Linked DNA regions of Struthio camelus. The protein of the gene in region 3 purifies or fractionates together with the protein of the main gene of each other region. This does not show direct contact. Links are inferred from orthologs where the notes say so. Each region holds a gene or a part of one and is shown on either strand. Other genes may lie near its edges. The genes, in order: FBXO22, CRY1, CUL1 and FBXO33.

Region 1 (7,611 bases), on a different chromosome or scaffold from region 3:
ACGGTCCAGAGACAAGCCGCCAGGACTAAAAGAACGTAAAACCTTTCTTTTGAAGAAACTAGAAGCAGGTGGTTTGTCTGAGCAGACTAGAGGCTGTGATGGTTACACTTTGTAAGTACATCAGAAGGAAAAACAAGGAAGAAAAGAACTAAGAAAGCTAAAGGATAGTGTTGATAGAAGAACACAGAGATAATCTACTTGCAAATAAGCTAACCCTAAAAAAATCAGAAATCGTCAACCATTTGGATATAGAAGTACACGAACAGCCTCTAGTGGGAGTAGAATCAGCTGGAACAGCAGCTACAGCTGGAAGTGGCCTCAAGAAATTGTCTACACCCCCACGCGCCTTCACATCAGAGGCCCAAGTTACTCGTGTTTCATCCTGATACAAGTATGTCAAGACTCTTAAAGACTCCAGTCATAGAGACAGATAGCCTAAAAGCAAATATACTAAGCAGAAAACTACAACAAGTTTTGATACATAACAAGTTGGTGCCCAGATGCAGGGTGTAAACTGTCTTCCATGCTCACAGTGAACAGGAAAATTTCTTACACTGTAGGAAGAGAAATTAAGGTAAGAAATTAGGAAAAAAGTTTCTAGTGATACACAAACGAAGTACTGGAAAAACACCTCCAAGGGAAGCTGTGAATTTTCCATAGTCACTATTTATGCTTCTTGCTATTCCAAACTAAGTGGATACACACTGAGAACGTCACCTTCTGTGACCTTCTTGTACGACTCTTCACATTGTAACTTTAAAAAATATATACACATCCAAGAAATATAATGTAATTACCTTAAGGTACCAACTAATAAAAATTTAGAAGCAGGCATAGTAACTGTGTCTCTGGCCAGCACAATCACAATGCAAACAGAAATGCCATCATTTTGTTTGCCTGGGAATGATGAAGTTGCATTTGACTTTGGCAAAGTCTGCTATAACTGTCAGGCTCACCAAGCGTCTTCTGAATAAACCCGTTCATTGGCTTTCACATTCAATTCCCAATGGCTTTACAGTATCTCTGAAATCCCTGCTATATCTACCCCCTCCCCGCAAATTAAATCGACCTTTTCAATGACAACTGTACCACATGAAGTAAAAATTTAAGGCATACGCATGCTTTAGCAGCAACAGTGTGAGCTCCTTAAAATTGAAGCTAGGACTGAACAAGGTGAGAGCAGTACATGGCAATAATCTGTGAGAATACTCTATTCAGTCTGCAGGACTATGCTTTCAAAAACACATGGAGTTGTGATAAAGAAGAGTCTGAAAAGACCTGTGATATACTAAACACCTTTAGGCTGATCTCTCATCACATCACACATTTTCGTCCTACCTACAATCCCTGGGGTGACCAGTCCAAGAACTTGGCATCGCTTTGGCAACAATTTTTCTAGCTCAATTGCGGTTTCTTTACTGTTTCTTTTTCTTGCTGTTAAAAAAGAAGAAAAAAAGAAGGCACAGAGAAGTAAAGGTGAGTTTTTCTGAGCACTAATGGACAAGCCTTGCAGTTAATTGCATCCTATTTAAACAATGCTGCCAATCAACAGCTGCCCAGTTAACATGGCAAACCTGTACTATCTGTAGGAATGCACCGCTATGGGTATACAGAGCAAAATCAACATCCTGAACAGGATGAGAAAGTAAATCACTGTACCTTCCTCTGTGTAATGCAAATCTATGTAAAACAGTGCACATTTGTGTGGCCTGTGCTTCATAACAGAAATGCTGATCTATGGGATTGCATTTATTTTTTTTTGCAAAAGACTTACTTTCCTTTGCAATTTAAACACAGAGAATTCAATTTAAGCTGACTTTCCCTTCACATATTGTACTTCTATTACAAGTACTTCTTGAAGCAGGAATAAGTCAGTTTAACAGTTACCTTTCTTTTGTTCGTGACACTCCTCATGTCCGCTGAATGTTTCCGCATCTGCTATATAGAGCACAGTTTGTGGCAGCACATGCACTTTCTGTAAAAAGATGCAAGGGGCAAAATTATGCTATTTAGCTGCTTCTCACAACATTCCCTTGTGCAAAGACATAAGCTAAGTTGAAAAAAACAGGAAAAGGAGATTTCGAAAAAGACAGGAGAGAAAAGACAGGAGAGAAAAAACTGACTAAATTCATTTTGGCTATTTCTCCATTTTTGTTTAGGTAACCCCTCTACGCAATTGCTAGATATTAAGCCTCTGAGAATCCCTTGCCAAACAAGCTGTCAGCTGATGACACCTCTGTCAGCAGTGAACTAGCAGGAGAAAGGGGTCAATACCCCAATTATAGACACCAAGTGAAGGCATCAGGAACGACAAAGGTGCTGATATGCACCCAGCTGCTTTCGTAGCGAGTGCTTTCAGCACGCCCGCTGCTCCTCGTTTCTGAATGACAGCAAAACGGCAAGTCAGACTCCCAAGTAGGACGCTTAAAGCGAGGCAGCTTTTTGCGTGACGCACAACCAACCCGCCGCACTCCCCGCTACGGGGCAGTTCCCACCGCGGCAAAATCCGGCCGCCCAGGGGCGGGGGGAAGGGGGGGATCCGCCGCCGCGCACCCACCTCCAGCTCGCGGGCCAGGGCGCGCACCAGCGCGTGGCTCTCGGCGGGGCCCGGCTCCAGCGCCGACACCCAGGCGACGCGCTGCCGCGCCCGCAGCGTCCGCCGGGCGCACTCCCTCCACAGCCGGCACACGCTGCAAACACGGCCCGCACCGTCAGCGCCGCGCCGCGCCGCACCCCCCACCCCCCGCCAACGGCCGCCCCAACCGCCGCCAACGGCCGCCGCGCGCCGCCTCAGCCGCCAACGGCCGCCGCGCGCCGCCCGCCCGCCCCAGCCTCGTCCCCGTCCCCGGCGCCCCTACCAGGCGGCGCGCAGCAGCGCCTTGGTGGGCAGGAAGCCGAGGACGCGCTCCACCACCTCGGCCAGGCCGCCCAGCACCGCCGCGCCCCGCGCGTCCGTCTCCATGGCCGCGGCCGGCGGCGACACGGCAGCGGCCTCCGCCCCCCCTTCCTCCCTCCCCCCCCCGCCAGGGGCCGCGTCACGCGCGCGGCGACAGCGGCTCCCGGCGGGCGCGCGCCACCTGACGCAGCTTCCCCTTCCGGCGGGGGGGGGGGGGCAGGCGCGTGCGAGGGTGACGTCAGCGGGGACGGGGCGGGGCCTGGAGCGCCCCGAGGCGCGGTGAGGGGCGCGCTGGTTTCCCTCCATTTCCACCCCCCTCCCCCCCCCCGACAATAACCACAGAAGCGACGCCATTCTTAAAACGGTTTTTATTCATAAACTTGATGCAAGTTTACAAATTACTGTACATTGCCAAGTAATTCTGCAATGGGGGGGGGGAGAAGAAAGAAAAAAAGGGAGGGGAAAAGACCCCCCCAACGAGGAGGGGAGCATGGCGAGCGCAGCTGCCGGCCCGCGCCCCCGGGGCCCGCGGACGCGTTCAGAGGGCTGCCCAGCCCCAGGCTCCGAGGGACTGCACCGCTCACCGAGTCGGCCGCTATCTCGGCGCCTGGCTACCGGGATTTCATACAAATATAATATGTACAACCAAGTAAGCAGAAAGGCCGGGAAGTCATCCACCCTCCTTCCGAGAGCGATATCTCAAACAACAGGTAGCAGAAGCAGTGCCAAATCTCTCAGATTTTCCTTTCAAGCTAAAAACTGGTTCTAGAAGCAAATGAGCAAGGACCCGTGGGTGCCTGATAAATGAGCACAAATTTGATAGTCAACTAAAAAAAAAAACCAAATACATAACAAAAACATGCTTCTGGACTTCCAAAAAGTGCTTAATCCATGGTACGCACCCTTAATTCATCCCCGGAGGGGTGCGAGGCCTAATAACTAGTACTACAACCAAAACAGAATTGATTTAGGTAAGGCAATGAAATAGTGTAATTACACAGACCCAGATTCATCTCCTAATAAAGAATGAACAGATCCCATTAGTCTCTCAATAACAAAACCACTCTCACAACTATGGCAACGTTTCTTAAATCTCTGAATCAGATGAGGCATTTTTGTACTTTAGTGTAGCTTTTATATAAAACTTTTCATTCAAGGACTTTCGTCTCGATTTGTGCCAATCACTTTATAGGTTCATTAGTTTACAAATGATTGCAACAACCCGTTAATAAAATGGAACGCCTAAAAAGGCTTTTAGTATTTTAAGTAACTTCAAGCTTCATACTGCGGCTCTCGTTAAGTAGGTCGAGCCACCAAGTAGCAGGAACAGCCCAGCAAGTTCTGACGCCCCAGTGGAAGTGACTAGTTACAAGGTTTTATTGGCACAGCCTTGCTCTGCTTAAAACACAAAATGGAACAAAACCCAAAAACAACATAATCTAAACAAGGAGCATCTTTTCCAAGAAACAGTTCATATTCTCATACAGCCATGAAAAATGTTTAATGACTTAACATACATGTGTTTTTCCTATATCATTAATTTGGAAATACTACAAATGCTGTCATTTGAGACCAGAAAAACTACCGTGATTTGCAAGACCTGACATTTCCTAAAACAGTATTAAACAATGTATTAAACTTCTTGGCTTTAAATGAAACAATATAATGCAAGTCTCTGCGGTCTGCATCCTGCAAAAGGTAAGAAATACACAAAAGTGTGTGAACAACTCCTATTTAATGACCTTTAGTAACTTGATAGCCTGCTTCAGGGAGTTTACGCCTTTAAATAAAAAAGAGGGAAGAGAAGGGTTGGCCCAAATATGCTTAATCCATAAGAACAAATACAGTAAAGGCCAAAACTGCTCAGTCCAAGATATCTAAGAAGAGCGGAATGGTAAGGCTGTAACTTATACTTTAAGTGTCAGTTGACAGATTATCCACTAACTTATCTAATAGCTAAAGTCTTCAGTACGGCTGTTATAGGGGCACTCATAGCTTGAGTCTGTGTGTGTTGGAAAACATAAAAAAGAGCTCGTTTTGTTGATGTTGGTCCAGGTATGCAACAGTCCTCAGTATTAACCATCTTCCTTCGGAGGAGTGTACCAGCCTATGGAGAAGAGAGAAACGCGTTAGGCACTGACATTGCTACGTTAAGATGATCTTTTGTTGAATTTGTGGGAAACGGAGACCTAAATTGGCTCCTTCCCTCTTACAAGTAAACCACTTCAGTGGGAATCAATGCCCTAAATGCTAGTGGTCTCCAGTGGGAGGGAGATAAAGCACTTGGCATATGCCAGGCTCAGACCCAGTATCTGTGTATGGAAATAAACTACTCAGGTGGTTTTTTGTTTTACATGGCAGCAGCTACCTTGCTGAGCTGGACAAGAGGGACACCAACAGAGGAAGCTGTTAAAGGAGGAAGACTGCCATAATAAAAACAAGTGGGATACAGGTAAAAACCCCAGGTTATTCCAGTCACTTAATGCATACAGACGTACAAACATGACTGCACTGGGATAAGTATAGATAAATCCTGTCTTCACCGTTGAAGAGCTGGGCACACGCAAGCATTTGAAAGGTTTACCCTACTTTTGCAAATCTTGGTGTAGGAATGGGCTCGCAAGCGTCACCGGAATAGCTTGCCTCCAGATACGATTCAACCGCTAACCGTGCCAAACCCTATCTGAGCAAGTACACGCAGCTTTATCTAGCCAACTCCAGATCCCCAGTCTTAGGTCTCCCAGTCCTCTCAATTCCTCTCAATTTTGTACAGGACCTATTTATGTTATCCCAAAGAATAAGCAGCAGCTGTAAGTTGACAAAGACACCTTTCGCAGCAGCAATAAATGCTGTGAATGCTTTGTGTAGCGCTTCTGATGCGGCAGTAATCACTGTAGTCAAGGCTAGCATATAGCTAGAGGTAAACAGAGAGCCATGCTGGCTTTGGTAGCAAACTAAAAAGGCAAAAGACTCAGTTAATGGCAAGATCAATGTATCATAAAATTGGAAAACATCTTCAAGTCATTATCTTTGCTCTTCTTCCCAATATTGCACTCATTTCCCAGTAGTATATTCACAGCAAATAGTATAGTCGCTATGCTCATTTTAGAAGTGGGGAAACTGAGGCATTCACTACGGTCACACTGAAATAAGCTCGTTCACAACCACCTGAGTTCCCAGAGGATGCTGCGTCCAACCTGGATCAAAGAGCATCACTGAAGCAGGAACTGGGACTAATTCCCTGCTCATAAGACCAGGACACCAGCTCCGCTGACCACTTTTATCTGACAATACTAAGCCACTTAAACTTTCCAGAGCCTCAGATCATCTGTTGCCTTCCCATCCTGCCATAAAAGGCAATTATACCCGAAGCACTTTAAGAAATACTTGTCTTATGCCAGTTGAGAGACCATTAACTGGCTTTATATAGGAGGGAAAAACACCCCATATGGCTCCCATTTCCATTGCAGTTTTCCAGATAGCGTACTTCACTTGGACTTTTCATATTTTTTAGTCTCTGGCCTTTCTTTACGCTTTAACTCTTCCTGGATTACTGCTACTGTGGTCTTGCATTATTCGGATAACACCTTTCAAGGAAAGGGGCAGACAAGCTTCCAGTAGGTACTTCACTAGCAAATAAGACACTTTGAGACACAGTAAAGTTACTAGAACAATTGGGCAAAAATGAAATTAAGCTACCTTTCAAAAGATAGTAGGAAGACAGGGAACATTGACTAACAACACGCCTGCAACTTTTCCAACTTGGAAGAATGTAACAAGTTACTTTAAGCAATTTTGTCTTCCTAGTATGACATGAAAAGAAACACTATTTGTGGTTCTCCAAGCCAACATAAGACACTCCAGCACTTTTAAGTTTTACTGCTGTCAAACACCAAATCCCAGGCTGCTGTACTGACCAAGAACAAAAGTTGCAAGAACGTACATACCATTTTTCTCGTGTATTTGTACTAGTGACTTATAGGACTGCTGTGCTCTTGCTAGATTATATTGATTCTGAAAGGGGGGAAAAAAAAACACACACCAACATAAAGGAGCAGCATCAAAACGTGTGAAACTTAAAACAGTGTTAAGATGAAACTCTACAGTGGGCTTCATAAAAAACATGCACTGTATTACAACATGCCTGGCTTTCAAGTACAAGGCAAATAGCTTTATCTTCTCATCTCTCCTCCTTCATAATGCTAATAAGTTACACACCCCCTGCTGTCAGAAAGGCCCTTATTTCAAAGGGTTTACAACCTGAGATAGGTCAGAAGTGTGTGCTATCAGCTGAAATCGGGGCTTCAGGCATCTCTGACCATAGATCTGCCTTGGTCAGCCGACCAGCTACCAGGCTAGATGGAATCGTGATAAAAGCCCTTTAAATCTAATACACAGCGATAACTTCAATAATAGAGTCAGAATCACACTTCACAGGACACTCATCTACCACCTTCCCCATCCTTGAATCACTACCTAAAAAGTGGCATCTGAGGCACGATTTCTTTTGTCTTAAAGAAATGTTTAAGCCTCTTCTGAAAATAGCATCTAATACTCCAATATGACTTGTCCTTTAAAGTACATTACCAGCACGCACATTTGGAAATCAATGACGTTTTAGACTAATGCTGAATGGCTGGCTCAGAAGTATTTGCATGGTGTTATATTTCACCCTTTCATAACACTTTGCAGGTGTTTAGTCCAGCAAAAGGAGA
Region 2 (7,923 bases), on a different chromosome or scaffold from region 3:
CCCGCGTGGGTCCTCCCCACCCCCCGCCGCCGCCGCCGCCCTGACCTGGCTCGCCGCCGCCGTGCGCTGCGCGGCCGGGCCCAACGGCCGGTGCCGCCCGGGGGGGAGAGGGGGGAAGGCGGGGCGTGCGGCGCGGCGCGGCCGCCATGGCGGGGCGGTGCCGGGGGGGACGGAGCGGGGCAGGCGGCGGCGGGCGCTGCTCGAGGGACGGGTTTGGGGCTGTGCGCCCCGCGAGGACCAAGTGCCGCCGTCCCGTCCGGTAGCCGCGGTGCCTCCTTAGCCCTGCAGTGCCCCCTCGCCTTCCCCTCCCCCCCTCCTTCCCCGCCAGGATGAGACCGTGAGGGGCGGCCGTTGGCCACGGTGAGGGCTGGGGTGCCGCCGCGCCTGGTGCCGGCCCGAGGGCCCTGTCGCCTGCCCGGCCGCCAGGTTTCACAGCCCTGGCGGAAACAGGTTTTGCCCCCGAGACGGCTGGGGAGTTCGGCTGAAGTCAGCCTGCGTGTTGAAAAGCTGCTGGGTGAAGGAGTAGAGCCCCAAGGGACGGCGCGATGGCGGCACTCGTTCCCCCTCCTCACGAGACGGGCGGCGGGAGCCATGAGAGCTGCCGCGGGAGCGCCCGGTGGGTGAAGGCCAAACTCAAGAGAGCATCTCTAAAGCCCTACGTCCTGTCTGAATCTGGCGTATGTCGTTTCAGCCTTGTCTGCTTTCCAGTGAAACGTCAAAGTAACGGCCTCGCCAGCACCGTAGGCTGAGCAAATGGAGGTGCTCTCGTGCCCGGGAAGCTGCGCGTGGCCCATGAGGTCCATGAGGCAGCAGCACGGGAGCGCTTGTGAGCACACAGGAGCAAGTCCATGTGTCGGCGTGGGCTGCAGGGCTCCCTTTCACACCTGGCACCCGGAGCATAAATGTGCTGGGGTTTCTAAAAGGCCAACAGTCACCGTCAGTCCCTCCCTGGTGTGGCAGGAGCTGTAATCAGGATGGAAACAGGCTGGGGAAGTTGGGTTGGTGCCACGCGGTTCTCAGGGTGCCTGGCTCCCGTCAGTTCTGCTTCGTCATGTTTTCATTTACTGGTGCAAGGAGAAAGGGGAAAAAAATGCTTGACTCAACAGATCTCACAGGACTGAAGTACGGTTATTAAGTGGCTGTACTTTTAATTCTGAGTTTGCAGTAAACAAGGACTTTGCCATCCTCCAGATGCGACTTCAGTATGCTGTAGTTCATGCACTGATTCACGGTGTTTTTAATCGGAGTGAGGTAAATTGGATTGCAGTCTTTTTATCATGGAAAAACACCTGAGTTTCTTCCACCTGGTAAAATATTGACTTTGTTATGATTAGAAATGTTTGAAAGTGACCTACTAAGAGGTATTTCGATTTAAACAGCTCTCAAGCGAGTACTATTTAGTGTACTAAATAAAGCAAAATCCCTCATTTTTAAGTAGTAGTATGGTATCAAAGAAACAAACATTTGAAAATTAAGTTACTTGAGTGCCTGTGTTCCGATGGGAAGCAGATGATCCTGTTGATTCTGTAAAGGAGATGGCCTGTTTCTCGCGTTTATCCAAGTGGAACAGTGCTAGTGAGACTTACACCCTGTACAGTGCAATAGCTACCAAATAACACTATTCAGGAGATCAAAAGCAGTAGTGCTCCTGATACCAAATATGTTCTCTGCAAAGACTATTCTACTGTTTTGGAAAGCAGCACACTGAAAAAATCTTTTCAGGATCAAATTTTGCTGAGAGGCAACAACGATGTAATCATAGGAAGCTTCTCTTATATCAGTATATTTTCTTCCATATGATCACTGTACTTATCCCTAATAAAAAAATAAAAGTCATGTATATAGTCAATGGATTAACAGTTTTGCCAATGTTGTTGCAGAAGCTAAATGAGCTGTGACGGTGAGAATCTGCTTCCCGTATCTTACTCTGTTCAGCTGGTCACTTCTTTAGTTCACTTCTAAACTTAGAGTAAAAAATAGGCAAAGATGCAAATAATTTCTAGACTAGACAATTTTTCTAGGCAGTTAGCATTTTTAAAACCATCTAACTCAGGTCTGCATAATGCTGTACTTCAAAGAGTGAAAATTAGGACTGTTCGCTTTGAAAACGCTTCTTTTGTCAGCTACATTTTCAATAGTCTGTATTAGAGCAAAGTGTGAAAGAATTGCTATAGTATGCTCTACGGACCTTGCTCACGCTTGGTTTCCTACATGACTGCTGTTTCAATAACACTTAATTGTGAGTATGAGTGACATAACTGCATGCAATGGAGTTAAGACACATGGATATAAAAAACTCATCTGATTTTTTAATACACAATATATTCTGTTTACTCCTTGATGTTTTATTTTGTCCTTTCATGCCTTCATGTTGTCTTTTTTTTCCCCTTCTGATTCCTTCTCCTCTCCACTCTCTGGATTTCTGTTATCACAGCGTGAGCCAAGTTAGCTGAATTAGCAATACTGTTCTTTCAAAAGTTATCCACAAGAGAACACAGTAGTGGGCTTAACTTGTACAAGTTCCTTGATTAACTATCATTCTATTTTCTTTCTTCACCAACTTGAAGAGAGTGCCTCTTCCCTTGAGATCTGACATTTTAATTAATATATTCTTCATCTTCCTTCCACTTTTTAAATCAAAAACAATCAGTCGAGAATGGAAGGTATGGATAGAGCTGAACGGTGTTTTGACATGCTGCTATGCTAATTACAGTTGTTATTTAATCTGTAGTGATAAACAGCTTACAGAGTGATGGTTTTCATGGTTGTAATTTGGTTATGAAACCATAAATTCCTGCAAGGGAGGGTTGCTTCCACCTCAGTTTAATAGTTTTACACGTTAACATTTTGAAGAAGGCAGATCAGTTGACACTGAACTTTCTTTAGGGCCATGGTTTGTTGCTCAGTGTCACAGCCTTGTAAGGAGCTAGCAGGGAACATAAGATACAAGGCTTCTGACTGATGATCTTAGAGAGGCTTGAAAAAGCAGCTTAGAAGTTTTAAATAAAAACTATATCGTAAGGTGACTTTCCTTGAAAATAAGCTTTCTTCTTCAGTGTGCTCAAATATTATACAATTAAAAGGAATTTAATGGGAAGTGGGTATTAACTACTGAGATGTTTTTTTCATTCTTTTCTACTTTATTTATTTGAAAATCAGTCACCAAAGATTTGACATTTCTTAACAACTGAACAAGCAAGGAACCCATAGGTTCCTCTTGGACCAGAATGATGAGCCGTGCAATCTAATGTTACATATATGACAAAATAATAGTGGAAAACCTCATAATAATTTATACTACTGTTAAGTTACTGTTAAATGCTTAAGGAAAGGTGGTCCACCATACTTTTTAGAGAGAAGGTTTCTACAATATCAAATAGCAAAGGGCTCTTATCATGGTTAGGGCCTTTTCTGTTAGCAGCTTTGCTAACAGTATGGACATTTTATGAAGTCATTCAAGGTGAGGAAAGAAGAGCATCAAGGGAAGCACGATGCGTTATGTGTTACTTTTTATTGACTGTGGGTTTGACTTTTTCATACCTAAGCAGAAAAAATATTTCAGTAGAAACTCCAATTCTGAGATTTAAAATACTTTCCTACTCTGGAATTCCGGAAGTCAAGGGAGGTAAGTACTGCAAGTGCATGTCCATTTTACTGTAGAGTCATTATTTGTAGTGAGATCTGTCTTGCTGTTGCTGTTTATGGAAAGCACTAGAAGCCGTAGGCTAAGTTATAATTCATACACGAAGGTTTGCTTTCGGACGTGCATACAGAGCTGCTCTGTAGGGCCTTGAAATTGCTATACTGAGTCCCATCAGTAGGACACCTCATGCCAGGCGGCTGAGACCTGAGTAAAAGTAAGAAAAGCTGCACCACGCAGGCATCTTTTAGCTCTGTACTTAAAAGGGAACGACATGTTAGATATACACCATTTGCTAATAATGACGCTGCTGACAGTGCTAGAGACCATTTTAACTCCTTTTACTTCTCACTACTCTCCTGAAGACGTATTTCCTTTCCACAGCTCTGGCACAGGCGAGCTGCACAGCCGCGTTTGCTCTGCCTTTGTTCCGTGTCCCCCCCCTCCCCCGCCCCCCGTTTTTGCACACCACCTCCGTACCGCTGCGGCCAAGGGGTAAAATTACTTCGTCCGCTTCGTAAGCGACGAAACGTATCTTAAAATGAGGGGGAACTCCCTCCTCCGCCTCCCCCCTCCTCCTCCTCCTCCTCAGGCAGGGACGCCTGGCCGAAGCACCGGGGGGGGGGAGGGGGGAAGGGCGACGTGCGAGGGCGGCCGGGCCGGGCCGAGGTGCGGCCCCGGAGCTCCTCGGCGGCGCTGGGCTCCCTACGTGGATACTTACATAACCGTCCCGGCCCGTCCCGGCACACAGGAGACGGCAGCAGCAACTCCGCCTCCCCCCGGTCACCCCCGCCGCGGCCGTTACGAGTTTGGGGCGGGACCGCGCATGCGCTCTGCGCGCCGAGCGTTATACATAACTGGTCACGGGCACCGCCCCCCCTCCGCGCGTGCGCACACATGTCCCCCCCAACCCCTGGCGCCGCCAGGATAGCGGCGCCTCCAAGGGCCTCCTCCGAGCCCCGTGCTCATCCGGGGCCCGGCGCCCCGCGCGGGGTGGGGGGAGGGGGCGCGGCCTCTACCCGCGGCGCCCCTCCCCGCCGCGGCCCGGTCCCTCGCACCGCCCCAGGCGGGTGGGATTCCCGCCGGGGCCGCTGGCTCCCCCGGTTGCCCGCCGCCGCCGCTGGCGGGAGCGGGGCCGAGCGCGCCGCGGCGGAGCCTCTGCCCGCCGCCTCTTCCCTCCGCGGCTAGTAAACACACTTCAGAAACGTGAGGGCTGGCGGTCACGTGGGGGCGGGGCAGGCCAATCAGGGGCGGGGGGCGGGGCGCGGCGGCTGGTGGAGCCCCGCGCAGAGTCACAGGGCGAGCGGCGAGGCAGCAGCAGCGCCAACGGCCGCTGCTTCCCGGGAGCGGAGCCACTGCCGGACCTCTCCGCCCCGCTGCTTCTCTTCCCCTCCCCGCGGCGCGGGGAGATGCGTCTCCGCCGGGCGGTCGGCGCCGTCTCCGCCGGGTCCTAGAGCCGCCTGAGGTGAGGCCGCGTCCCGGCTCCGCCAGCGCTCCGCTCCCCGCGGCGGCGGCCCCGGGGACCCCGCGCCGCTCCCGCTCCTCTCCCGGCGGGGCGGCGGCCGCTGCTCGCCCCGGCGCTGAGCCATGAGCGGCCCCGCGGGCGACGGCTCCCGCTGAGCGCCCGCCGGGCCCGCGGCGGCGGCATGGGGGTGAACGCCGTGCACTGGTTCCGCAAGGGGCTGCGGCTCCACGACAACCCGGCGCTGCGCGAGTGCATCCAGGGCGCCGACACGGTCCGCTGCGTCTACATCCTCGACCCCTGGTTCGCCGGCTCCTCCAACGTGGGCATCAACAGGTGGCGGTGAGTGCGGGGGACGGGGGGGGGGCGGCGGGCCCAGGCCCCCGGTTATGTATGCGGTCACGCTGCCCGCTGCCATCCCCGCCCTCCCGCGCCGCCCGGCTGCCTCCCAATTGGGCCGCTGCCCCGCCGCGGCTCCGCGCGCGTCCCCGCGGGCGGCGGCCGTTACATATCCAGCCCGCGTGCCAGCCCGGCCGGCGGCTGCCGCGGGGGGAGGGGAGGGGGGGGACTCGCCACCAGCGCGTCAGCCCCGCGCGGGCGGGCGGCGGGGGGGGGGGAAGGGGGAAGGGAGGGGGCGGCGGCGGCGGCGGCGACTCCGCGCTTCCCGCCGCAGCCGCGCGGCGGCCTCCAGCCGGCCCGGCAGCCGCCTCCCGAGCAGCCCGGGCTGGCAGCCAGAGCCCCCACTTGCAGTGCTGCGCTCCTGCACGTACCCCTGTGGGAGAGAGAGAGGGGAAGCTTTTGGATGAGTTCAGAAGTAAACTCTCAGGTTATCTTCCCCGTAGGGATAGGGTGTTCGGTGCTCCTTTCGGGAGCATGCAGTTCTTGCACCTTTGGGCCAGGTGTGCTCCTCCTTTAAATATAAAGCTGAACTTTTTGCTGTGGAGCGGTGGCTGGCATCCAGTATGGAAACGTATGCCATCTTAAGACAGAAGTTAATGGGACTTCTGTGCATGCATATCTTGTGAGATTGCATTAAACAGCAGTAATAACTTTATTTTCTTTTTAAAAAATAACTGATAATGTGGTAGAGTTCTTCTGTCATCCATCTAAGAATGGCAGGAATTTCAGATACTCGTGAACTTAGTCTGCACAGACCACAATGCTGAGAGGAGTTGACTAATTATGGAATGAGCACAGTATAACTGGACTGCACCCAATGTCATGATGGGATGGCTGTCAAAGTAGAGCTACTTGTTTTTTTAGTTCAGTTTTCTTAAGGATTATTTCTTTCAGCTGTAATACCTTCTCTCCCAGATCATTAAATACTTTACCAGGAAGTTGGTTTCTCTCTCTCTCTCTCTCTCGACATCTTGAAGTTTTCATTATGGCCATATCTCTGGTTTAAGGAAGATACAAATATTAAGAATAGGCTTTCTGTGATCTTTAACTTGATGGTTATTCCATTTTCATTGACAAGAACGAGGTGCATACCACTTAATAATTGTAAGGTAATTCCCTTATCTGAGGATCATAATGTATACTTCTTTTACAGAGACTTTTAAAGATTCTTGCTTGTTTTGAAGGAGATAATTTTTCTTGTGTAACAAATCTGAACGTTATAAACAAAGTTCAGAGGTTGTATGTAGTCTTTACAGATAAAGTGTGAAAAGCTACTTAAGTTTTAAAAGAATGCAGCCAAATTGCGTGTCCAGAATACTTCACAGGTTTCTAATGTATTTCATAACTGAAAAAACAGAGAGAGCTGAACCATTCTTGGTCATATTTTGTGAGCTAGTGAGTGATAGACAAATGTGAACTTTATGATCCTAGCAAAAGGGAATCCATCTCTCTAATGCTACTGCCTTAGTTTTCCAATGGCTGTTTAGTATGATCTTCACTTAATACAGTCCTAGAATACATTTATGCATAATAAATCAGCAGATGCTCAACAAATGCATTTACTTTAACGGTTCTCAGTGGTACAAAAGACAGTCGATCCTTGCACTGAATTTTACATTTGAAGTAAAACATCTCTTAGTTGTTGGTCAGAGAGGGTGGGTTTCTTTTCAAGGAGAGGTATTTACTTATCTTTCAGTCCATTTTTGAGGAGGGGATTCTTCTCCCTACAAAAATGAAGAAATCATAGAAGGAGGGTCAGTTGTAACACCCCTACCCTCAAAGCACTTCAAACAATATCCTGGATTTTGAATACCCCAAGGCACATGCTGTGCATGGATTTGAATAGATCTCACTCCTTCCATAGTCCGGTTTTGTGAGATTTCCAGTTTTCTCAAGTTTTTTTTTAAAAAAAAAAGTGAGTTTTATAAAATAACTAGCTGCTGGAACTTCATACTTACTAGAGTGATCTCAGTAAATTCTTATTTCAATGAACAGTTCATAGTTTGGAATTAAACCAGTTTAGGTGCCAGTAGTTACAATGTGAGTGTTTTACAGCTGGCTAAGAATAGCTCATTTGTAGTATGCATACTGAAGACCTGTGAAGTGATACTTTTTTATTTGATTTGCCAGTCTCATTCAGTGCTTGGTATTGATAATCAAGCATTTTAGCTCCTTGGTCACTGGATGACTTCCTTGCTTATATGCATGTGGAATAGAGTGTTGAATTGGTCAAAAAACATTTTATTTGAGATTAGGAGCAGAAGCCCCTCAGCATCTGGAACTTGAATCTAAATTTAGTCTTCTGCTGTGGGTTTACAGTGATCCTCCCATATGTATGGGTTGATTTACCTTAAGAGAGTTTATGTTCTGATGAGTTTAGGAACCTAACACCTCGGGTGCTCTCTCTCCTCTTGCAAAGCTT
Region 3 (7,825 bases):
AGAGGTGCGACCCCTGCCCAGTTTTCCCTCTCAAGACAGACCAGGTTAGACAGCACGTTACATACAGAAGCATCATCACCAGAGCAAAACAGCAGCACTGATCTAACCACTAATTACACTTCCATCTGATTCTGCCTTCAGCAAGTTAGAAAATCCCGGCTAAGAAGTGCAGTACACATAACTTAGGTACCTACCTGTTACATACAGGCAACCTTTTACTAGGACAATCTGCTCACGTCACATTCACAGCGCAAATTTTTTGACGTTGACAGTGGTATAACTACAAGTACTTCTTTAAACCTGTTTCATCCACTGGGAAAAATAAATACATAAAAACAGTTTCAATGCCAGAAGAGAAGACTCCAGGTACACTCAATTCACCTCACCGCTAACACCCAGGATGTGACTCATCATTAAGCTGGGTCTCACTGAAGTGAGAAGTTAGTTTTGTGCAACTATGTAAAAGGAGACACCACCTGAGAAACATAACTGATGAAAAGCAGTATTCAGAGATCTTGACATCTAAATTACAAAAAGAAAAAAAAAAACCTTTTCTTAATATCTGATATAATATCTGATATAACAACTTTCTCCGAGGATCCAATGTTATATCCATAACAATATGGCTAGGATGTAAGACTTTAAGCTAATAATGAGAATAAGCTGAAATCACAAAAGCCATCCTCACATCAGTTTCCAAATAAGGGTATGAATCATTTGAGCTTAAATTTAAATGATATAAATTAGTGATTCAATTTTCTCATGCTGACAGACTAAGTAACAGGCTCAAGCTATAAGGCAAGTGTAAACCAGTGTAGAAAGGATAAAAGTAGAAGTAGAATCATTTAGTTTAATCAGCACAACTGCTTTGTCAACATTGTATTGGCACATGTGTCTTATTTAGGTGCCTAAACCAAGAAACTGTTCCTCCATACGACCCCTTGATAGGCGATGGAAAAAGATTCCTCTAGGGGAGTAATTCAGACTAGAAGTCTAATTCAGTTACTCTAAGCTGTCTTCCAGTTACTTTCTCAATGAGGAAGAAACAGATCCTACTGTGAATAAGCTGTTAATGTTAGATACTCATTCTGGATTCTAAGTTAGGTGTATAAATTACTTCCAAAATTTGAAACTAGTCCTGACACCTCCATGGCACAACTACGTCCAAGGTTTAAATGGGACCTCAAATACGTCGTGGTGATGCGATTATAAAATGCAACCAATGTTAAGAACTAAAGCAATTCAGAAAGATGTAAAATAAGAAGTTGGGTAACCTACTACTGAGAAACAAAAGAAATCACAAAGCAGAAAGAAAAGACTACTTTCCAGTAGAGTCACTAGCAGAGACACAAGTGCCAGTGCAACACAGACTCCCAGCCACCAATACTCAACACTGCAGCAGTTCGCTGTGATCATTTCCTGAGGAAAAAATATGCATCTAGTGAGTAGCAGGGAGGCCCAGTGAGGCCTCTTAGGACTTCCCCAAAGAGAAACCATCCCAAACATACCGTACCTCAACTGAAGTACCAATTCACAATACAGCATTAAGAAACAATGCTTGGCACTAATTTAAGTTATACAGCCGCTGGAAGTTTCTTGCCCCCACAGACCACTCCCCCAGGTCCTACCAAAAGGTCTTCCAAGAGAGCTGTTTTTCTAAACTAACACTAGGGGGTGTGTGTGTCGGTGGAGAAAGGGGGGAAGAGAATGTGAATATACACAAACACATGTATTGGGGCAAAGACTGCTGAGGAAATCAGTAAGAAACAAATAAAATAAGGTAAAACAGGTTTAAAAATGTTTGTTTCGTGTTCTCCTAGTACTGGCTGACAAATACAATCTAGGCTGAAGTTCCTCCTCTCCTCAAAAGCACAGCTGGAGGATTTAAATACAAAGTGGGGGGAGACAGCATGGGAGTCGATGGAGAAAAGGAACATGTCAAAAGGAAAGGGTATTAGGTGAGATCACGAGGAAGGATTTAACAACAGGAAAATAAGATCAGAAGGGCAAAGAATCGCGGTGAAGGAAACAGCTACCGGGGAGGAAGAAAGCTGGAAGGGGGAAAAGGTAATCAGGGAATAACGATGATGAAAGAACACAACTCGAAGGGGAAACAAGAAGGATGGGAAGAGATGCCAGGAGAGACGCAGCCAGCTTCCAGTGCCGGACCAAGTTCCTGGGAGGCTGACCAGCTGCCTGTTAGCCACGACCAAAACCTGCAGGACCGCTCACCTGGACGGGGGCGACAGAGAAAAGGCTACTGGGGGGGGGGGGGTGGCAACAGCAAGGGGGCAACCAGGGCAAGCCCGGAGCACGACCCCAGCCGGGGGGGGGACGCGCGGGACGCGGCGCCGAGGAGCCACGGCGGCACCAGGGACACGCGGGGGTTTGTCCGGCCGCAGCGGCGCCTCGCCGGGGCTGCGGGGACACGCTGGGCCGGCAGCGGGGGGGGACATGGGGGGAAGCTCCCTGCAGCCGGGCCGAGGGCAAGGAGGCGGCAGAGGGCCGGAGCCGGGCAGCGAGGGGCCGAGGCGGGCTCCCGGCTCCGAGGGCGGCGAGGTATTTCCAGTGCGTAGCTAGAGGCCTCCGCGCCGCCGCCGGGCCCGCGCCGCCAGGGCCGCCATGGCGGCGCCCGCCGCCTCCCTGGCGCGGTGAAGAAAGGCAGGCGGGCGGGCAGGAGGGCGGGCAGGCCGGGCCGGGCCCGGCGCCCCTCGCCCCGCTGCCTCCCGCCGCGGCGTGACTCAGTGCTGGGCTCCGCTCCGCCGCCTCGGCCTGGGCCGCGGCCCTCCTGGCAGCTGCCGGGCCGGGCCGGGCCGGGCCCCACCACCACCACCGCCGCCGGGCTGGCTGCGACACAACGCCGCGGCCTCCCCGCACTCACCAGCATCGCGCGTCCCGCAGAGTCAGGCCGCGTCCGCCCGCCCCTTCCGCCGGGCCCGGATCTCCCTCTGCCGCCGCCGCCGCCGCCGCCGCCTCCCCCCAGCGCGGCCCCGAGCGCGCCCAGGCGCCGCCCCTCGCCGCGCCGCGCCGCCCCTCGCCCCGACCCCGGGCTCGGGCAGGCGGCCGCTGCCTCAGGGGAGAGGGCGGTTTGGGGAGAGGGCGGCCGGGGGGGGCGCAGCCGGCTGGGGTGCTGGCCCCGGGAGACCCCCTGGGCAGGCTTAAATTAAAGCAGCTCCGGTGGCGAGCTCCAGTGTGTGAAGGGAAAAGGTGAAACGCGGCAGCGCGTGTAGCATCGCCTTTGTGTAGGCGGCACGCGGGGGCGGCTGGTTTCTGCGTGTAACAGTGCGGAGCGGGTGGTGCGGCATCGTACCACAGTTAACACGGGCTTCGGGGAAAAGTAACGTTTTGGAGTCAGTCCTGTCGTCGTCTTTGTTCCGGGCAGCTGCGGAATTACGTTCGTGGAGCTGTGCTGCAAAAGAAAAGGATGGGGTTTAAGTTATCCTCACGTGGATGTTTGTGTTTTGCTTTGCCGAGGTTTTCTGTGCTGCACCATCACAAACCGTGCTGAGTGAGCTCCCCTGCAGAGAGGGGGTCGGGTTCTGGGTCTGAGTTGGGCCAAACGAAACTTGGAGCAATTCAGATGAGGTTTTTGTTGTTGTTTTTTTTTTTAACTCCTTTACGTTAGAATAAAGAACGTTGGAATTCATTCCAGAAAATGCGATAGTGCGATAGCTTCTAAGGAAAGAAAATGGGGAAACAATAGGGAGAAACAGAGAGACATTATCTTTGCTTTGCAAAGTGCTTCGCTTGCATCCTGGCTCCAGCAGCTGTGCGCCATTTTCAAAAACTGGCCTTTCTCAAAGTGGGTGGCCCTTAGTCACCTAAGTGCTTGTAAAATTATTTCCTTGTGTAATAACGCCTTACCTCAGCGCAACCCACTGAAGTGGGCGCTAGCAAACTCGTGGACACGGCTCTTCTGATGAAACAGTTCTGGCCTAACGCTCACCGCAGCGCTGTTTTAGGGGCTGGTTTAATAGCAGAGCACGGACGCCGTCAGCGGGATGGCATCGCAGCGCTCACGTTAGTTTGGCCCCTTGTAGACGTGCTTTGCAAATACCGCTCCTAGGCATGACTGACGTTTCTGGCTTGTTAGCACACGGGAGTTACGTTAGAGGGTAGCAGCGGACGTTGCGCTGCACACCTCATCAGCGCGGCCAGTTCTGCGCGGTGCGTTAAGAGCCGGGAAAGGACAGACTGGAGGAGAAGGAGGGGGGAACCAAAGGAGGGGGACTGATCATTAAAAATAAAGACTGTTTTTTCAACCTTGGAAGCTAATTTTTTAAATTGTACTTTACAAAATTTGTATTTATACAGAGGTAAAGCCATCATTGTTTTAAAATCCTAAAACAAGGGAAAGATAGGGCCGTCAATAAGCGAGGAACGACAAAAAAGCCTGACAGAAAGTGAGGAAGATGTGGGGAGGAGGAAGGTCTGAATTAGCACCATCATCATTGCCATCCTGCACTAGACAGGGCTTTTTGCCTCTGTGTTTAACTTTCTAGAAGGCGAGGATTTTCTTCTAGAGCTGCACTGTGATCTGTGAACTGCAGACACTTCAGGGAGGCAAGGCGCAGTTCTCTAAATTTTGTTAATGATGGTGGCAGCTTGGTTGGCATTGTGAAAAGGCAGGCCATGCAAAAATCTTCACTAGAAGGATTAGACGTCATGCCTAGCATGATTCATTCCTGCGTTCATTGAAAGAATTCCAGTTTCAGGGTAAGCGGCCACAGACGGAAAAGGGAATTGAATGCCAAAATAAATATCACCGAATTTTTCATAGCAAGATGGCTAGTGAATTTCCAATTGTCCAGCGCAATTCATATACTTTGTATGAAAGGAGAGAAGCTTCCCCTAGAGACTGAGGCAGCCACAATTTCAAGGACAAGTTTCATGAGAGAAATCCAATTTTTACAGGAATGAGCTTACACTGCTGCTGAGAAAGGCCTGTTTTGACGGTAACTTCCAGGTTTCACACCTGTTGCATCAGCAATGAATCAGCACACATCAAGCAAGAAAATTATCATTGTAATATTTGCTGTCAATGCAAGTGGGAAGCTCCATTTGCCATTGGCTGGTTTGGGCAAAGAGGAAAAGCCTGAGTCATTCAAGGACACAGAGGTGCAGTGCCTGCTGCTTTATTACTGCTGTGGGGAGGTTGTACGGGTGAGCAGGGACCCTTTCCCTGTTCGGTTCATGCACAGCCTGTGCTTGCTGTCCTTCTTACATCTACAATGCTTGTCTGAAAACAGCAATTTTAGCACCCCCTCAACACTGCCAGGAGGACCAACTAATGATAGATGATAACCTGTTTTCTTGCCACATTCTTATCAAATATGATTTCTCTTGTGCTGCCAGTGTACCAATGACTCAGGCTACCAAAACCAAAAAAAAAAAAAAAAAAGGAAAAATTCAAGGAGGCATTATTGCAAAAGTGTTTAGCCCAACAACATGACAAATCTGCTGTGCGAAATTTACTGACTCTGTAAGATATACAAAAGACAAAAGTAGTGAATGTGGTCAAATACACCACACTGCAATGTCTTACATAAACTACAGCCAGATCCTGAATAAAACAAATGTTTCTCTGATTATGAGACTGATGCACAGGAAAAAAACAAAACAAAACACAACAAAACAAAAACCTCCAGCTTGTAAATAATCTTAATAGTTTGGAAGAGCTAAGTGAAGAAAATTTCCAAGAATCGTTCCTATATGACAGCAGCTAGCCTGAGTGCCAAGCTCTACATGACACTGAAGTCATTACTACTGTTCAAAGAGAGTATACGATGAGAGGGCAGCTAATCGCAGAGACATCACTGCTAAGCTTGCGCCTCCCATAGAAGTGACTATAAAGCCTAAGCTATAGAGATTCCAGAGTGTATTTATAATTTTCAGTCAGTGAAAAGGTAGCGTATTTCAAACTCCTTTGGCTATGCCCATTGTGCTCACACAATTTCTGAAGGTCACAAGATTTCTTCTGAAGGTCTCCCTGAAAAACCATTCTGGATAACAGAAATCTTGCACTACTGCTCCTGTTAAAGTACACAGGTTACACTTAACGCTAATCAATATGCTTTCCGCTAACCGGTACATTTATCTGATGAATTACAGAAGGTTTTTAAAAGCTACTTTACGAAAAATGACCTAGTAAATATTTTCAATCATCAGTGGGTTTAAAGAGTATACATATGAAGTAGAACTTTAATCTGTTCATTTGTCTTTTCTTGCAGGTATGACAATATTAGTTACTATTATTCTCCTCTGGATTACTTAGTGCAATGCTTTGTATTTATGAGGAGGCAGTTGGTGAGTGAAACCGATGAAGGGAGCCTGCTCTTTACTTTCTGCCAAGAAAATTCTTCAGATGCTGTGAGCTCTAAGAAAAGCAATGTTAATATGATTTGCTGGGGGAAATAATATAATAGAGCTGCAAAAATAAATTATTAATGGGTAATATAGCCTTCATAACACATCTAAATACAAAAAGTCACTGGATAGGTACAACTTTAACTAATAATCTTGCATTTTGCATGATCTGGGAAAGTGAAGTGAGGGGAAGGCAGGTGAAAGGAAATTGAATTTGTTCAATGGGATCTGTCAGATTTTAAAAGAGGTCATCGGGTCCTATGCACGCTAGGTGGAATGGGAAAGGAGGAGAGTTAGCAAGCTACAAGTCTGAAAAAGTCCCTTGGGAGTGGACTTAGTGCTCAATGGCACAGGCTTTGCTCTGCACGGGAGTTTCTCATCTGTGAGCAGAGCTTTCCTGCCAGGCTTGGCAGCGCTAGTGGGAAGAGGCTGTGACTCTCCTCCCTAGCCTGGTAAATCTCCCAGTAAACATGCAAAAAAGTTTGCAGGACTAGGACAGTGGCTTTTTTTTTTTTCCTCTCGCAGTCCTTCATCCCTGAGAATAGATGGACCCAAGGGTCCTCAGAAACTTAATAGAGCCAACAGAGCCAAGCACTGCTGGACTTCTATTAGACTTTCTCTCAAATCTTTTTTTTTCTTTTTTTTTTTTTTTTGGATCTGAAAGCCAAAATTTCGTATTTCAGGTAATATGTTTATAATGTTTACAGCTGACAAAGCCAAAATTTCAGTGCAAAATTTTACAGCCTGTAGCTATGGCTGACAGAGAAGCCCTGGCCTGTGTTTTTTTGGTCTCAGGAAGTAAGTTGTATATGAATATAGTGGGATTAGAATGAAGTGCCCACATATATGCTCAGCACCTCTCACTCGCATAAAAATACGTTTCAAAGCATAACCGAAAATGTCTGAGTGAAAACAGTGAGTTCAGCAAGAGGTGATCAGTTAAACATTTAGGGAGGTCATTTGATATTTGTTAGGTCCATGCCTGAGTAAAGACTTTTCCTGCGAGAAGTCACAGCAACATATATTTGAAATCCATCTGGCAACCTGGCAAAGATGCATGGAGCTTTCTGGATTTCTTTCTGGATTTCTTTCTGCTGTGCTCATCTCACAGCAGATGAGAACCCCTTAATACACTATGTTGGGTTTTTTTCATAGCCAGATTACTGTGTATTCAATCATACATCCTCAAGTCTCAAAAGCAGGTGCTATTTCTAGATATCTGGGATCTGTTCAGAGGCCAACTTTTTTCAGTCTTTCTATATATCAAGAGCTTGTATCAGAAGAGATTTTTGAATGTATTTATATGTATCTCCTATATTCTTGAAAGCTGGATCAGAAACACTGATTTTTCTGAGAACACTCTACCTCCAGAAAAGAGCTTAACATGTTTTCCTGCTGTTTTTGTCCGCAGAGGGATTTGTCTAGGGTTTCTTTTGTATCTGGTGTTTTCAGACTTACC
Region 4 (7,164 bases), on a different chromosome or scaffold from region 3:
TGCAGAATAATCAGCTACTGGTAGTTACCTTGCAAGAAAAAAAAAGGTGGGGGGGAGCATCAAAAATAGACTAAAGCTTGTCTATTCAAGAGGAAAAAAGGAGTCTATGCAGAAAGTAATTTTGAATAGAATGTCAAGCGTTTAAAGTAAATTCTGCCCCCCCCCCCCCACTCTTCAATTGCTCATCAAAAAATGCCTACTGTAATAACCGGGTATTCTGTGTTCCCCAGTCATAAATTATTCATTTCAAAACAAAAGAGCAGAATGCAAATGATTTGAAGACAGAAAGAAAATACAGTAATGCAAAATCCTGTCAAAGCTGATAACTTTTTACCTGTATCTTACCACTAGAATTGTATTAATCTACTGGAGAATAGCTACTGGAGAATCAATTATTTCTACTAAGTATTGTACAATAGTCTTCAGCAGTGAAGTGCGTACAGAATCTGCAAAAATACCTTTAGAAAACAAGCATCTTCATACAAGTTTCTGAAAAGGTCATGAACAATGAATCTTTTTCAAAATAAAAAATATATTTAAAAGATTGTTTGCAATGCATTTAATTTTGACAGTCTCATACTGTAGTGATACAGAGGGAGTAAGAAACGTCTAGTTTGTCCAATGAAAAACCCAGGTAATAGTTTCTGGAGATTGTTCACTTAAAAATTCCACGTTCGCGTCACTGTATTTGCCTTGGATCTGATAAGTTACCAACACCACTTCACCATTTTTCACTTATGACACGAGTGGGATTCCCCACAAAAGCAACAGTTAAACAAAAGCTTCTTAAAGGCAGAGCAGCATTATGGAAAGGCTAACGAAGACAGACAATCACCATTCACGCACAGAGGATTCACACGGCAAAAAATAAATTATACACAAAAGTGAGCCTGGACCAATGACTAGTTTCCAGAAATACGGTTTGCAGCTCTCAATCATCACAGTTACACCACAGGATTGGCCTGCTAGGCACAGCACAGCAAAGGAACTGAAAGTGAGACCTCACACATCACATTTACATCCATCTAGAACAAACGAGGAATTACATTTAAAGGTCTTGCTTCTTTATTTTGAATTGTAGCAAGAGAAAAGCCTCAAACTACTCTCTAATCCCTCTGGAATCAAAGATGAGCGGGTGGCCATACCATGATGCAACTGCAGAGCTTTCCCAACAGCCATCCAGAAGTTCTAACTTGGTCTAAAGACACCCCAAAATATTTGCAGCCTATTTTCTAGATAGGTGGAACTGTATGCATGCAGAGGGGAAATAACATTAGCCATTTCCTATCCCGAAATCTGCATGGCTTTCCAAACGCATCATTACCTAACTGTAATAAATTCTTGCTTTCCTGTCTCAGGTGCTGCCTAAAGGCCATGTACTACGACGATCTCTGAACAGATTTAAAAAAAAAAAAAAAGGTCTTCACACGCACATAAGATAAAGAGCATGTAAGTGCTTTAATTCTAAAGAACTCCAACCTGAGGAAATTAAGTATCTTAGTCAAAATAAATCTGTGAAAGGGCAGGGCAGAAACACATCTTAAGTCCAAAGCACAGGAAAAAACTTATTTAAGTTTAATGTGCTTAAGACAATCCTAAATGAAGGTTTTGCAATAAATAAAAACTTTATCTTGTTTAAAGCCGAAGCAAATCTCAATTTACCAGGTAACACAAGAGCTGGCATGGAAACTCAGTCTTCAAACAGCAAGATCCCTCATGGCTGGAAACGTTAAGTATTTTAATAAGAGCCGTACTTCCTTCCTCTCCCTCCAGAAACACATCACCAATACTACAACCTTAACCCTCCCACTAATTTTTCCCAAGTTTCATTTTTCTCAGTCACACAGAACTGGGCCAAAGAGATCTCCTGTTTCACGCCAAATCCAAATTCCCAGTGTGAAGCGCTGCATCTGAGCTGCATTTCTCTTTCCTTAAAGGAGACAACGAAGCTTTCATAGTTTCGTTTATGGCTTGTGCAGCCTAGCTGCCTCCCAAATAAACTTCGGTACTTATATTCGCCTTAACGCTACGGAAAAGGGTAAGGAGGAGGTTACTTCCCACAGCACGGCCACGCTTCGGCTCGGACCGCAGCAGCTCAGCGAGTCACTTCTGCAGGCTCCGCTTGTTTTCTGAAGCCCCAGCAAGCCCCCGTCGGGGCAGAGACGAGCGCTGGACTCCCCCCGCCGCCGGCGGGTGGCCGCGGCGCCGGCCGCTGCCCCGCGCGGCCGCCGCCGCCTCCCCGCCGGCCGGGCAACGGCCGCCGCCGGCCCCGCGGCGGGAAATCCCCCTCAGCGGCGAGGGGCCGCCCCGCCCCCCGCCCGGCCCTACCTGTTGTTGCGGACGCTGCTCAGCACGCACAGCACCAGCTCCAGGTAGGTCCTCAGCAGGTCCAGCCAGCGCGGGCACAGCGGCGGCGGCGGCGCCTCCCCGTCGGCCGCCGCCGCGGCACCTTCGCCCGCCCCCCCGCCGCCGCCGCCGCCGCCGCTGGGGTAGTTGTCGGCGGCGAACTGGACGCGGAGCTCGCGCACGAACCAGCCGCACTTGCGCATGAGGAACTCGAGGCGCGGGCGCTCGGCCGGGGAGACGCGGAGGCTGAGGCGGAGGCGCGGCCAGAGGGCCGGGTAGAAGAGGCACTCCCGCCAGTGCGAGCAGGCGGCCGAGGCCCGCAGCCGGTCGGGCCCCGCCAGGAAGGAGAAGATGTGCACCACCAGCTCGCTGGGCAGGGAGCCGGCGCCCACCGCCTCCCCGCACACCGACATGCCTGGCGCCGGCCCGGGCCCTGCTGCTGCTGCTGCTGCGGCAGCCACAGGCGGCGGCGGCCCCGGCCTCGCCTCCGGCTCCTGCGACAAAAACAACAACATCAATGACAAGGCGGAGGGGGCGGGCGCCGGCCGGGACGCGGCTACTGCCGGGACGCACCACCCGCGCCGCCTCCGGGGGGGGACGAGAGGCGCAGCGGGCCCTACCCACCGCGCCGCGGCGGGACCCTACCACCGAGCCGGCAGGAGAGGGTGAGGTGAGCGCGCCCGCCGGCACCGATCTCGGTTCTCGCGGGGCGAGGCCGCCGCGCAGGGAGGCGGAGCCACCCCCGGCGGGGGGTGGAAGGGGAATGGAACATACCACCCGTTCGAATGGGAGGCGGAGCCGGACCAACCGCCTCGGCGGGGGGCGCGGCGCGGCGCGGCGCTAACCCCTCCAGGCCCGCTAGCGGGGCGCCGCCTCCCCCCGGCCCGCCCTGCGGCCGTGCAGCGCCGACGCCTCGATGAGGGGCCGCCGCCGCCCTCCGAGCCGAACGCGAATTGGCCGGGCTGGGCCGCCGCGCAGCGCGCCGCCAAGGCCGAGCGGCACCTGGCCGTCTCCGAGCGGCGCGGCGCCTGGCGGAGGAGCGCCTCAGAGCTGCCGGCGGCGGGAGAAACTTCCTTCCTCCTGCAGGCTGTGGCAGGGCGGGGGGGAAGGAAAAGGATTTCGATTCATGGCAGGCGCTGGTACTGCTGCCTGACCTCACGTTCCGATTTCAGCCAACAAAATTACCTCAACAGGATGCCAACCCTGACTGCAGAAAACACGCTGACTGTGCAGGAAATGCTAAGCATAGCGAAGAGTTGACTTGTGATGAAGGCTGGATATGAGCCTGCACTGATACGCTAGCAAGTGGTCCAGTGTCCTATTTTGAAATCTTACCCGTTTCTTAAAGCTTGCCGGCTTTGTAATGCCCATTCCGACATGACGTGCAGGAGCGGAAAGATACTTGTCTTGTGCAAACAGACTCAGAAAGATTTCAAAAATCTGGTAAGTATTCATTCTGCAAAGGCTGAACATCAAAGTGAATTTAATCTCAATTGTTCATATAAGCTTTATGAATTTACTTTAAAACTTTATTGAAATAAATAAAATCCAGTACTGTCTGTATGTTATTATAATACAAGAGTTTACATAATACTGTATATTTGTTCAGAAATGTACACACAAAACAAAAGATGTGCTAAGAGACATAAAGCCTGTTGGCATTCAGAATATGGCATCACATTATAAACAGACTTATGAACAGCCAGACATACAACATATCTCTCCATTCACTCCATCTTCCATCACTTTCCCTGTCTCGCAGTGTGTGTGGGGGGGAGAATAGTATCATTTTATTTCTTGAATCTGTTCACAGGGGAAATAAATTTGAACCTCCTGTTTCTCTTTTATTAGAGATAAGCATCCCAGAGCAGCAGAAAGTAACATTATGGGAAATTCCCAGCTGGACAATTCCTCTCTGGTCAGGGACAAGTGCTGTTTCACATGCTTGTGTGAATGATAAGAATCTGTATAAATGACTCAGGGAAGTACTGCGCAACTATTACTGCACATTTCCCTGTCAGATTAAGCCCTCAGGTCCTCAGGCAGTAAAGATGCAGGAGATGGAAAGTTCTGAAGCATCTGAACTCATCTGGCTGAATTAAGCAAATACAAGGAACTTAGTCTCCTACATAGTTCCATATTTTAATATGTGCCCAACAACCCTACGTTGCTGGGCTCATAATAAGTCAAAGGACTTCCAGGATTACCAAATATCTTTATCTTAATGTAATCTGTAATCAAGTTTTACAATTCATTACCTGAGATTACTGACGTGATATCAGGACAAAATGGTTTATGAAGCTACTAGTTCTGTGTTTCTGGTTACCTTTGTTAGATGATACTGGATCAGCAAATGTGGCATGCTGGGGTCATGCCTCTCATAAGACAGGCAGCTTGCATGGTCACGTACTCAGCTTCTTCAGCTTACTGAGGTTATGCTAAAAATTAAAGCTCAGTAGCTCATAACTTCAGTTTTGTAGACTTGAAGTGAATAAATGGGTCTGTTTCAAGCTTCAGGTCATCTCAGCTATAACTAAGTGTTCGATATTATAGTACCAGCCTTTGTGAGGTCTCTGACCCCATCCCTTTGCATGGCCACTATGATGCCAAGACAACCAAAGCTATAAGGCTGCCAATTGGGGATGCTGAATCAGTTTTCTCCACCACTGACATCAGAAACGTACTTTAGCTTGACTGAGAATTGATTTCAAGGTGCAGGCTTATGTGAGTACTAATGCAGTGACTGCAAACTCATGGTAAATATATAGAAAAAAAGATTAGCCAACTTGCTTGCAGACTTTTAGGAAGTTACTGCTCAATTCCACCAGATAGCTGGTCAAGGGTCTTTTTATTGAGGCAAAGTTCTTAGCCCTCCATGAGCTGAACAGTTAGACCTGAGGAGCAACCACTGTGGATCAGAACTGAGCTGTGCACACAACTGAGTCCCAAGTAACCAGGCTCTGCCCGCCTCAGCAGCTCCCACTGGCTGGTTTCCACACAGCTGGGGATTCTAATTACTCAGCAGCGCAGACGCCAACACAGGCCTGCCAGTGCTCATTCAGCGCAACTCTGGCACAGGAGCCAGGAATCGTGTGTTTCTAAAGCTACAGAATACCTATAGCCAAGTTAAAGTTTACTGGACATGAAGGTCACCAGTTCAGCAGCTAATGTCAAGACGAAAGGCAGTAAACAGCGCTGGTTCAGCAGCTCTATCCTGCTAGCCTAGATATATGAAGATAAGGCTAATGAGGGAAAAAATGAGGTACAGGCTTTGGCAATTATTCACTCAGCCCCTTCTTCTTTGTTAGGTGCATTGTTAAGACACGTTAGGTTTCTGAGTTTACCAACCTGATATGCTTCACTTAAGGAGCTGCTGTGAACTTAGGAGTTCTCCATGACCCACTGCAAGAAGTTCACTTATAATTTGGAGCACAACATAAATGCAAACTAAATACTAACGGGAAACTAGTGCTTTTGCATGTGCTGTAACAAGCTGAAATAATGTCTTTTGTGATGATTTATATCGAGAAAAGGTAAGTGCAGCACTTAACAGTTGAACTTGACTGCAAGCTTCCTACCTAATCTGCATCTGTAAAAAATCTGTCAACTCGAAAGGGTACTTTAAGATGAATCACGGAGTAAACACCGCAGCCCTGGTGCGGGTCCGAACGGAAGCGGCAGCTCGCTAGCGAGGACCCTACTTGGGAGAAAAAGCAGAGCGCCCAACTGCCGCTCCGTTGTCCTCCAGCGGCCAGGGAGGCGGCGCGGGAGGCGCTCCCGCAGCGCGGCGCTCAGGGCGCCACACACGCGCCCACTTACCGAGCCGACACCGGCCCTCCCGGGGCGGCCCGGCAGCCCAGGCGACACCTCCCCCCTCCCGAGGGCCCGGCGGCGGCGGCCGGAAGTGAGGGCAGCGGGGCGGAAGGGGCGCTCCTCGCCGCGCTTACCATAGAGCTGGAAGGGTGGGGCGAAACCCCCAGCCCTGGCATTTCCGGTTCGACACTGCGTCACATCCGGGAGGCTCTGAGATGCCGGTAAGAACCGCGGGGGGGGGCCGGGGCCGCCTCCCCGGGACTCGCCGCCCCCCTGCGGGGCACCGGGGCCGAGCAGGCTGCGGAGCGGGGGAAGGGCCGGCCTCCCGAGTGGGGAAGGGGCGATCTCCCGGGTGGGGAGGGGCCGTCCCGTCCCGTCCCTCGCGGCGGCGCACCGGCCGCGGGGGGGGGGAGGGGCGGCGCACCTGCCCCGGGGGGGGAGGGCCGCTGCCGGGCCGCCCCCCCCCCGCAGTCCTGGTCCGACCCGCGGCAGCGGGGCCGGTGCCCGCCGCCCCCCCCTCCCACCCCGCGGGGCCCTCCCCGTTGAGGCGCCGGGGAGCCGGACCTGCCGCCCCCGCAGCCTCGGCCCGCGGGGCGCCGCCATGCCGGGTGCAGACTGAGAGAGGGCGGCGGGCGAGCGAACGGGAGTATCCCCCAGCCGCGGTTTCTGTTTCCTAGTCTGATTTATTCTGTTCTCGCTGTGCTTACTCTGTTGTCGCTAGACGGCTGGCAGAGGGTGAGGTCCCTGTACTGAGCGTGTTGCTCAACCTGCTTGTTGGGAGTGCTAGGGGAAGGCTTTCAAGTTTAGGTTTTTTTTTTTCTTTGCTTATACAGTATTACCATTATGTTTTGGAATTGATTCAATAGGATTTGTGATTGTGATGCAAGGAGAACTGTAGTTTGCTTCCTTCTCCTGTCACTAGCCCTTTCCAAGTAAGCAAAAATGAGAGCAGACAAATTTATTTTTCTTTGTAGTCTAAAGAAGAAATGTATTATATAGGTAGCA

The links.
Region 1: the proteins of CUL1 (region 3) and FBXO22 purify together in Homo sapiens (affinity purification with mass spectrometry; 11 studies listed by BioGRID and IntAct, with this or other methods). This does not show direct contact. The link is inferred for Struthio camelus from reciprocal best matches to the Homo sapiens genes CUL1 and FBXO22.
Region 2: the proteins of CUL1 (region 3) and CRY1 purify together in Homo sapiens (affinity purification with mass spectrometry; 4 studies listed by BioGRID and IntAct, counting the BioPlex papers as one, with this or other methods). This does not show direct contact. The link is inferred for Struthio camelus from reciprocal best matches to the Homo sapiens genes CUL1 and CRY1.
Region 4: the proteins of CUL1 (region 3) and FBXO33 purify together in Homo sapiens (affinity purification with mass spectrometry; 4 studies listed by BioGRID and IntAct, with this or other methods). This does not show direct contact. The link is inferred for Struthio camelus from reciprocal best matches to the Homo sapiens genes CUL1 and FBXO33.

Annotation. Positions count from the first base shown.
Region 1 is NC_090953.1:21,910,116-21,917,726, reverse strand, and holds the start of FBXO22 (F-box only protein 22), read right to left. Parts: upstream 3,017-7,611; 5' UTR 2,963-3,016; coding exon 2,859-2,962; intron 2,691-2,858; coding exon 2,558-2,690; intron 1,976-2,557; coding exon 1,888-1,975; intron 1,435-1,887; coding exon 1,339-1,434; intron 1-1,338. Other genes in the region: UBE2Q2 (ubiquitin-conjugating enzyme E2 Q2), read right to left, coding at 4,972-5,003, 6,844-6,910. UniProt on the Homo sapiens protein: Substrate-recognition component of the SCF (SKP1-CUL1-F-box protein)-type E3 ubiquitin ligase complex that is implicated in the control of various cellular processes such as cell cycle control, transcriptional regulation, DNA damage repair, and apoptosis.
Region 2 is NC_090942.1:61,486,245-61,494,167, reverse strand, and holds the start of CRY1 (cryptochrome-1), read left to right. Parts: upstream 1-4,917; 5' UTR 4,918-5,105; intron 5,106-5,232; 5' UTR 5,233-5,286; coding exon 5,287-5,444; intron 5,445-7,923.
Region 3 is NC_090943.1:62,576,553-62,584,377, reverse strand, and holds the start of CUL1 (cullin-1), read right to left. Parts: upstream 3,006-7,825; 5' UTR 2,882-3,005; intron 313-2,881; exon of another isoform or gene 195-312; intron 1-194. UniProt on the Homo sapiens protein: Core component of multiple cullin-RING-based SCF (SKP1-CUL1-F-box protein) E3 ubiquitin-protein ligase complexes, which mediate the ubiquitination of proteins involved in cell cycle progression, signal transduction and transcription.
Region 4 is NC_090946.1:57,213,413-57,220,576, forward strand, and holds the start of FBXO33 (F-box only protein 33), read right to left. Parts: upstream 3,011-7,164; 5' UTR 2,992-3,010; intron 2,841-2,991; 5' UTR 2,760-2,840; coding exon 2,329-2,759; intron 1-2,328. UniProt on the Homo sapiens protein: Substrate recognition component of a SCF (SKP1-CUL1-F-box protein) E3 ubiquitin-protein ligase complex which mediates the ubiquitination and subsequent proteasomal degradation of target proteins. Probably recognizes and binds to phosphorylated target proteins.